2 linked regions of the Astyanax mexicanus genome follow. The protein of the gene in region 1 purifies or fractionates together with the protein of each later gene. This does not show direct contact. Links are inferred from orthologs where the notes say so. Each region holds a gene or a part of one and is shown in the gene's direction. Other genes may lie near its edges. The genes, in order: nfx1 and larp1.

The links.
Region 2: the proteins of nfx1 (region 1) and larp1 purify together in Homo sapiens (affinity purification with mass spectrometry, with the first as the bait; 3 studies listed by BioGRID). This does not show direct contact. The link is inferred for Astyanax mexicanus from reciprocal best matches to the Homo sapiens genes NFX1 and LARP1.

Annotation. Positions count from the first base shown.
Region 1 is NC_064415.1:33,627,330-33,631,258, forward strand, and holds the start of nfx1 (transcriptional repressor NF-X1), read left to right. Parts: upstream 1-1,271; 5' UTR 1,272-1,473; coding exon 1,474-1,495; intron 1,496-3,929. UniProt on the Homo sapiens protein: Binds to the X-box motif of MHC class II genes and represses their expression. May play an important role in regulating the duration of an inflammatory response by limiting the period in which MHC class II molecules are induced by interferon-gamma.
Region 2 is NC_064424.1:34,122,339-34,126,267, forward strand, and holds the start of larp1 (la-related protein 1), read left to right. Parts: upstream 1-1,359; 5' UTR 1,360-1,672; coding exon 1,673-2,060; intron 2,061-3,929. UniProt on the Homo sapiens protein: RNA-binding protein that regulates the translation of specific target mRNA species downstream of the mTORC1 complex, in function of growth signals and nutrient availability.

The DNA of each region.
Region 1 (3,929 bases):
CTAGTGCTAGTGCTGGAATTTAAGCTAACTGTAAATAAAAGAAAGCGCTTTACTCACCCAAATTAACAGTTTTCAGAAAATAAATCTGTGTTGATTAACATCCAGCACTCGTTTAACTTTATAAGAAAATGTTTCTTTTTTTATTGCAGTTTTGTTTACTTAGCTTAGCTACCTCCCCCCCTCCACCACCCAGGGGTGAGACCTGCTGAATTAGAAGTTTTAGACATTGTAGACGTTTATTGATAGTGCGCCTTATAATATGGTGAGCCTTATAGTGCGAAAAATACGGTAATCACTGAGCTTTAATAAAGTACGCTAACCAAAGCTTGCAAATTTAGCACCACCACTAGAGCAGTAGAGATGGGAATTTTAATTCATTGCAACATTTGAGTGCAGCAGTCCCACATTTTGCAGCTATAACAGCATCAACTCTTCTAGAAGGGCTATTTACATGGTTTAGGTATGTGTATATGGGATTTTTTTTTTTTACCATTCATCAAGAAGCATATTTTTTTTGTAATGTAGGATAAGAAGGCCTGGTCAAGTTTGCAGGAACTACACATTAAACTATGGTAATATACTGGTTATCATAATTTTTAAACCTTGTGCCACCTGGGGCCCCATCACGAATACACATACAAAAAAGAAAAGGAAGCATAAAAAGAGAAAGAAAGTGGAGTCTCTTTGTTTAGGGAGAACGTTTGGTTAGACTGGTTAGCTAACAATGGTATCAGTTCTTACCAGTCTGTGTGAACAGTCAGCAACAAGCTCAACCACAGTTCAGACTGTGAATATACAAAAAGTACATTATTATTTAATTAAAAGCACATTATATTTTATCAACATGTGAAAAATGTTGGAGTGTTGATATATATATAATATATATAAATTGACATTCTGTTAGATTATCTTTTATTTATGCTACATTTTGTGCTTACTGTCTCACACACTCGTGGTCAGGCATACACAAACACAAACAGCTGATGGCATGTTTCCTCTTTTCAAGCTGCTGAGTGTGGAAAATAGAAAAAAAAAAGTGTTTATTTTCTCCATTAAAACTATCAGTTAAACTCAGTAACTCAGTGCATCCCAATATTCTAGTTTAAAAAGCATCAGAACTACACTGAGATCTTATAATACAGTAAAAAAGGATCTAGTTTGCAGCCTGATGATAATGAGTGAGTGTTACAGATACAGAACGCAGAAATAAGATGAATCTTATTAAATACCTGAGCTGTGTAGTTAGCTGATCCAGTCCGGCTCTTCAGCAGACTGTGTGAGTCAGCGCCCCCTGGTTCTCTCACTTCCCTCTCTCTCTGTGTAGCGGATCAGCGCTGTTAGCAGGTCTGTGTTTAACCTGCTCCACACTTAGCTTATCAATATCTACCTCCAGTTATTCCCCATTCTCCAGCTCCACACAGAGCGGTGATCTCTGAAACACAGCGGGGGAGACTCTCCTCCGGGTGGAGCCGGATGGCTGAAGCCTCGGTTACAGGTAAATATCTGACCGTGAATAAACCTGGAACTTTCTCCACAGGACTGACTGTCTGTCCGGGACTAGCCTAGCGCTCTCAGCGTGACCGGCAGCAGTAACGCAGGAGCCTTATAGCTAACATAGCTTAGCTGGCTAATGTAGAATACAGGGGCTAACAGTCACTGGCTGAGGGGTTAGAACCGTGTTAAAATTATGAATTAATGTGTTTTTTATAAACGTATAGAGACATACAGTGGAAGGCAGGAGGAAGGTTGTGTATGATAAACATATAACGTTAGATAGCTGAGTGTAAGTCTGTCTGTTGTGCTAAACCGTTAGCTAACGCTAGCTTTAGCCAGACAGGTGTTCTGTCGAGTTATGCTATCTATCGATATGTGCTTCACAACACCAGTGCGCATGCGCCAAACTATTTTTTTTGGAATGTTTTCATGATAATTCCTTAAGTTTTTATAAGTATCATTAAACAACCTGATTGAATGTAAAAAAAACTGCAAATAGCAGTTAAAATAGCAATGGAAAGTAAAAAAAATCAATAAAACTAATACGGTTTATGCTCACGTATATGGCTTTAACTTTTGAACTTTCCCTAATTCAATGATTTAGTCTGTCCACATATCATACCTTGGCTTCTGCTGGGAGTATTTTCTTATAGGTTTTCTAATATGGTGCTTTTTTGGTATTTTTACCTTTTTAAAAATTAAATTCTACTAGGGTAGTACTGTTTGACAAGGTAGCACAACTCGACAGAACACTGGCTTAGCCAACAAACTTGTTTGCTGGTCCCGAGTAACTAGCTAGCTAGTTAGGTTAGCTAAGCTTGGTTAAGTTAATATTTAAGGTAACGTAAGTTAATGCGTTAGTTAAATTAGCAAAGCAAGATTTGTCTCTTGAGTACTGGGTAAGTAGATTAAATAGAAGTTACAGGGGAATGTCAGGTGAATATGCTGTCATTTACTGACTCTAATGTTACACTTGGTTAAGCCTAAATCAGTCTACTAAACTAACGTTATCCTAGTTAACCTATCTAAACTGTATAGCTATTAGCTAGATAACTTACCTAGCTAGTTACCTAATGTATCTTTTCATGTTGTGCTTGTTTAGTTAACTAACGCTAACTAACATTAACAAGCTATAACCAGCTCGGTTAGATAGTTAACTATGGGAAGCAGTTATGGCACACCAGCACTTCAGGTCCTGACTCAGTTCTTACTAGCTAGTAAAAACTCTTAATTAAGAGATAAAGCTAGCTTAGCTTGGGGTTATAGGCTCTTTACTTGTAATAATATCAGTTCTACACACGTTGCCAGAACCACATATGTTATGTAAATGTTATTTTGACCATACAATTACAGAGGAAGTATCAGATGAATCTGCTTTCATTCACTGACACTAATGTGACACTTGGTTGAGCCAAAATTTGTCTAAACTAGCTAACTATATAGAAGCTAGCTAATTACCTAAGGTGGCTTTTTATGTAGCTAATCTAACTTAGATTCATCTCTGAGTACTGGATTAGTAAATTGAATAGAAGTCAGGGAATTGACTCCAAGTCTTTTATTGAGGTTTTAATTAGGGCTGCAACGATTAGTCGATATAATCAACAATGTCAATTATTTAAATTTGTCGACTATAAATTTCATTTCAAAACTGCCATACAAACTAGAGATGGAACGATCGATCGGCAGTGTATCGGTATCGGCCGATTTTCAGCCAAAATACGGTGTCGGCTATCGGCTGATATTCCTCTGATTTTAGCCGATCCGATTCAGAAGTTTAGGGTTAAACCAGAGACTGTAAAAAAAGATGGACGCCGTATCTCCGTTCCCATTCATTCAATTAAAATGAAGCCAAAATCTTCCGCCATGTTGGCGATCCTGCCACCTGATTCTGCGCAGTAGAGTCCAGAGGAGGGAGAAAGACTGTGGAGAGCAGCCTACTCATTTGATTAACCCGCCCCTGAGGGCTGACGGTCTGTTATTGGTCCCGCCCATAAGCAGCCCTTTTACAATAACCACACCTTTTTTTAATAGAGCTGAATAACGTTTTAAACACCGAATTCTGTGGGGATATAAAAATTTGACAATATAAGCAGAGGTTACACTAGCTGTTGCATTTAAATAAAGGAGGTAGAATTACAGTATATTAGAAAAAAACGTGATTGAAAGTTGTCTGTTTTGCCATTGAAACCTATGGGAATGGGTGGAGTTACACGGCTTTCTGCAGCCGAACAGCAGGGGGCGCCCGACCTGTGGTGGCTTCACTTTTGAGAGACGACCCTCTGTCCAGCTATATACAGTCTATGGGTTAAACAGTAAAGCAGAGCTGTGTATGGATGGCCGGAGAAACTGTTCGCTCACAGGAAGCTGCAGTTCTTCATCCAACCACTAGCCAGAGCTGCAGCAGCAGAACAAGCCCCGCTCTCTCTTCACACTAG
Region 2 (3,929 bases), on another chromosome or scaffold:
TTTTTTTAATTATAAAGGTTGTAATCAAATATGCTTCACTATTTCACAGACACTATTAATTTAAACCACTTGATTTAGACACAGAATCAATTAATTTCTTTGATTTTATTTTCTTTAATCTTTTTTATATTATATTTAGTTGTTATCAAACATGCTTTACACTCATTACACTCTTCAACTTGTTTATTTTTCACAATGTATAGTATTTTAAAGTTAAATACACTTTATCTTCACACAGATGCTTCAAAAAACTGGATTCAGACTCATGAATCGAATCAAGGTTTGATTTTCTTTTTTACAATTTTCATATTTGTTGTAAACAAATATTCTTTATCATCACACAGACAATTCCAGTTAAAATCACTCGCTTCAGAAGCATTTATTTACAATATTATTTTTTTTATATTATAATTGAAAGAAATCAAATGCTTTATGCTTGTGAATTGACTCACATTTCTTTTTACAAAGTTGAATCTTTTTAAAATATAATTAGATGTAATCAAATATGCTTCCTCATATTTATCTTTACACAAGATTTATCTTTACACAAATGCTTCAAAACATGTATTTGCTTTAACACATTATTTTACAGTTTTTAACATTTGACAATTTTACAGTGAGGATATTTTATATAATTATTAGATGTAATCAAATGTGAATCAACTTACGCTTTATAAACTTTTTATGTTAATAATTTTATATTATAATCAGATGTAATCAAATATGCTTTATCATCACACAAACATCTACTTCAAAACACTAGGCTCTGACTCATGAATCGACTCAGGCTTTTCTTTGCACAATGTTGAATCTTTTTAACGTATAATAAGATGCAATAAAATATACTTTATCCTCACATAAATGCTTCAAAACATTTTTTTTTTTTACAATTTAACAGTTTACATTTGTTTAAATTTTGCAATCAGGTCATTTTTAATATTATAATCAGATGTAATAAAATATGCCTTACCATCACACAAATCCTAAAAAACACTCAAATATTTTTTTTATAATATAATTAGATGTAATCATGCTTCACAAGCGCAAACTTCCAATTTAAAGCATTACATACAACTGTTTAATATATTATAATTAGATCTAATCAAATACGTTTTATCATCACACAGATGCCTCACAAAACTTGATTCAGACTCGTGAATCGATTCACGCTTTTCTTTCTACAATGCTGAATCATTTTTTAAATTATAATTACATGTAATCAAATCTGCTTCATCATCGCTCAGACACGGCCGCTTACAATTCACAACATTCGACTCCGACTCGCGAGTCGGCTCAAGCCTTCCACAGAAAGGGGCGCAGTTCAAACGAACCGATTCGTTAGCGACTCGAACACAGGCAGCGTGCGCGCTCCCGTGAGTGGCGTGGTGGAGTTTCACCCAGCCTGGCGGAGATCATCAGCACGAATCTAGCTGTTTTTTTTTTTGAGAGCTTCATGATTGGTGTTCGATCCGGTTTTACATGTGTTGATCCGAACTCGCCACTCTGCGTCTTAGACTGAATCCTTTTGGTCTAGGGGTGGAGTGGAGGACCGAGCCGAGCCGAGTCGAGCTTCTGTTTTTTTCCGGAGGGGGTCGGAGAGCTCGGGAACACGTTTTTGGGCTGAGAGGGGGAGAGGAAAGCAGGGGAGAAGAAGGAAGGAGAAGACGGAGTCATGGCCGCTCAGGTGGAGACCCTCCTGCCGAGCAACCCTCTGCTGAAGAAGGGGGACGAGGAGCGTGAAGGCCCGCAGACGGAGCTCCAGCAGGCCGAGGGAGCGTGCGGGAGAGCCGGCCTAGAGCAGAGCCTCAAGCAGGCGAAGGAGGAGAGCAACCTGCAGGAGAAGGAGAAGAACATGACCATGGGCCAGCAGGACAGGGTGGTGGTGGTGTCTGGGTCTGAGAAGGGCGAGGAGGGAGAGCAGGGTGGAGAAGAAAGCGGCAAGAGGAGTAACTTTAATAAAAAGGAGTTTACTGAAGCACCTCCACCCAAGGTGAACCCCTGGACTAAGAAGATGAACGCCGTGACCGTGGTCAGCGTGAACGGACAAACACAACACAACGGTTGGTAGCTAACTAGCAAACTACCTAATCTAGCTAATTCTATCCTGTAGCTGACTCCATTCGTGTTTATTAACCTTTAATTTTTGCTATGTGTTCCCTAAAACCCCTCGAAACCACGTTAAACCTACTGGGTGTTGCAGAATCTGACTAAAACCTGGCTTAAACCCAGCCAAACCCTGACTTAAAGCATTTTTGGCTCGTACAGATCCAGAAAGTGAAAATCCACTCCAGTATTTTGTACCAACTGCCTGCCTGGCGCTTGTCGCAGCGAGAGCTAGCCCAGCAGTTGGTACGAAATCTTGGAGTGGATTTTACTTCCCCGGACACGGATTCTCCACCTCTAACCCATGTGTTTCATGTGCTTCTGAGATTCCAGCGTTTGGCCATTTCAGAGTTTATAAAATGACGATGAAACGTAAAAAATGCAACAACACCCTATGTGTTTCGCCTTTTTAAAATGAATTTCGCCTAATCCATTTATACCCGTCTTTAAAAACAGCAAATGCAGGCGTTAATCTGTTTAGACTGGTAGCTGGCTAAATGACATGTGGTTGTTAGCATAAAAGCTAGCTAGCCGAGCCCTGCCAATGATCGAGTCGCTTGAGCTAGCTTTAAATACCCCAGTTCTGCTGATTTCAGGGCAGATTGTAAAGGTATTCATCGGTCTGATTACAGGGGGTGACAGGGGATTTTTGATGGCATTAAAGCTGATTACCTGAGCGATAGGAGTGGGATAGGTGGAGTTTAGCATGCCAGCAGTAACGAAAACGGGCTGAAAGTATTGGCTTTAGCTTTTAGGCTAACCCCACTAGCTTGCTTTAGCTAGCCTGCTAGAAGCAGCTATGAACTATTGGCATTAGCTAACCTAACTAGCTTCCTAGCTAACAGAAATACATAGACATGCATCTTCATAAATGGTGATCATTATTTGCAAATGTATTGCATTATAAAATATGTTATAAACAGAACATATATTTTAGATAGTTTGTTACTTAACGTTACTTGAAAAATAGTCTGTAGGCCTCTCTCTCTCTCTCTCTCTCTCTCTCTCTCTCTCTCTCTCTCTCTCTCTCTCTCTTTTACACGCGCACACACATACAACTATAGCTGGTCTTGATATTGCCCTTACATTTTAAGTTAATACTGTAATAACAAAATGAGAATTGAGTTGCATGGTTATTCCATTATATCACCATTCCATCAGTGGAATAAAATACAGTGCTTTAAAGTAACAGGAACATTATTAGTTACAATAATTTGTCTGGAGCAATATATGTATATGACTAGGCTATCCTGTCAAGCCAAGTAGCATCATCAAGCTATTATATTATCCTTTTGGCAGTGACCTAAAATGCAGAATCTTAGACATCTTTTCAAACAATAATCGTCACAATATATCACCCTATGAAAAAATCATTACCGTTACATGCACTATACACAATGAAATATTAAATCAGATATGTAGAGTACGTAGCATATTCATAAGTTTGATCTTGTGTAATAAACAAGCCATTTTTGTATATTTATAATCTATAAATGTAAATATATTTAGTGTACATTTTAAATATATTTTGCACCATATGGGTAACTTAACAACTTATTGGCCTTTTATTATAACGTAATTGGCAAATAATAAAAACTATGTCTTTAAAGTGTAGGTTAACATTGGCTTTAGCTTGGTGGCATATAAAAATCGTACTGGCTATCATTATTAACTATTAACTTTTGTATACTGGCTTGTAATATTATTACAATGTTATTGGCAAATAATAAAACCCTTGGTTCTATAGTATAAGCTATCATTGATTTTGGCTTGGTGGCTAATAAAAATATTTTTTTTGTCTATAACAGTGTTGAACCATGAGCTTT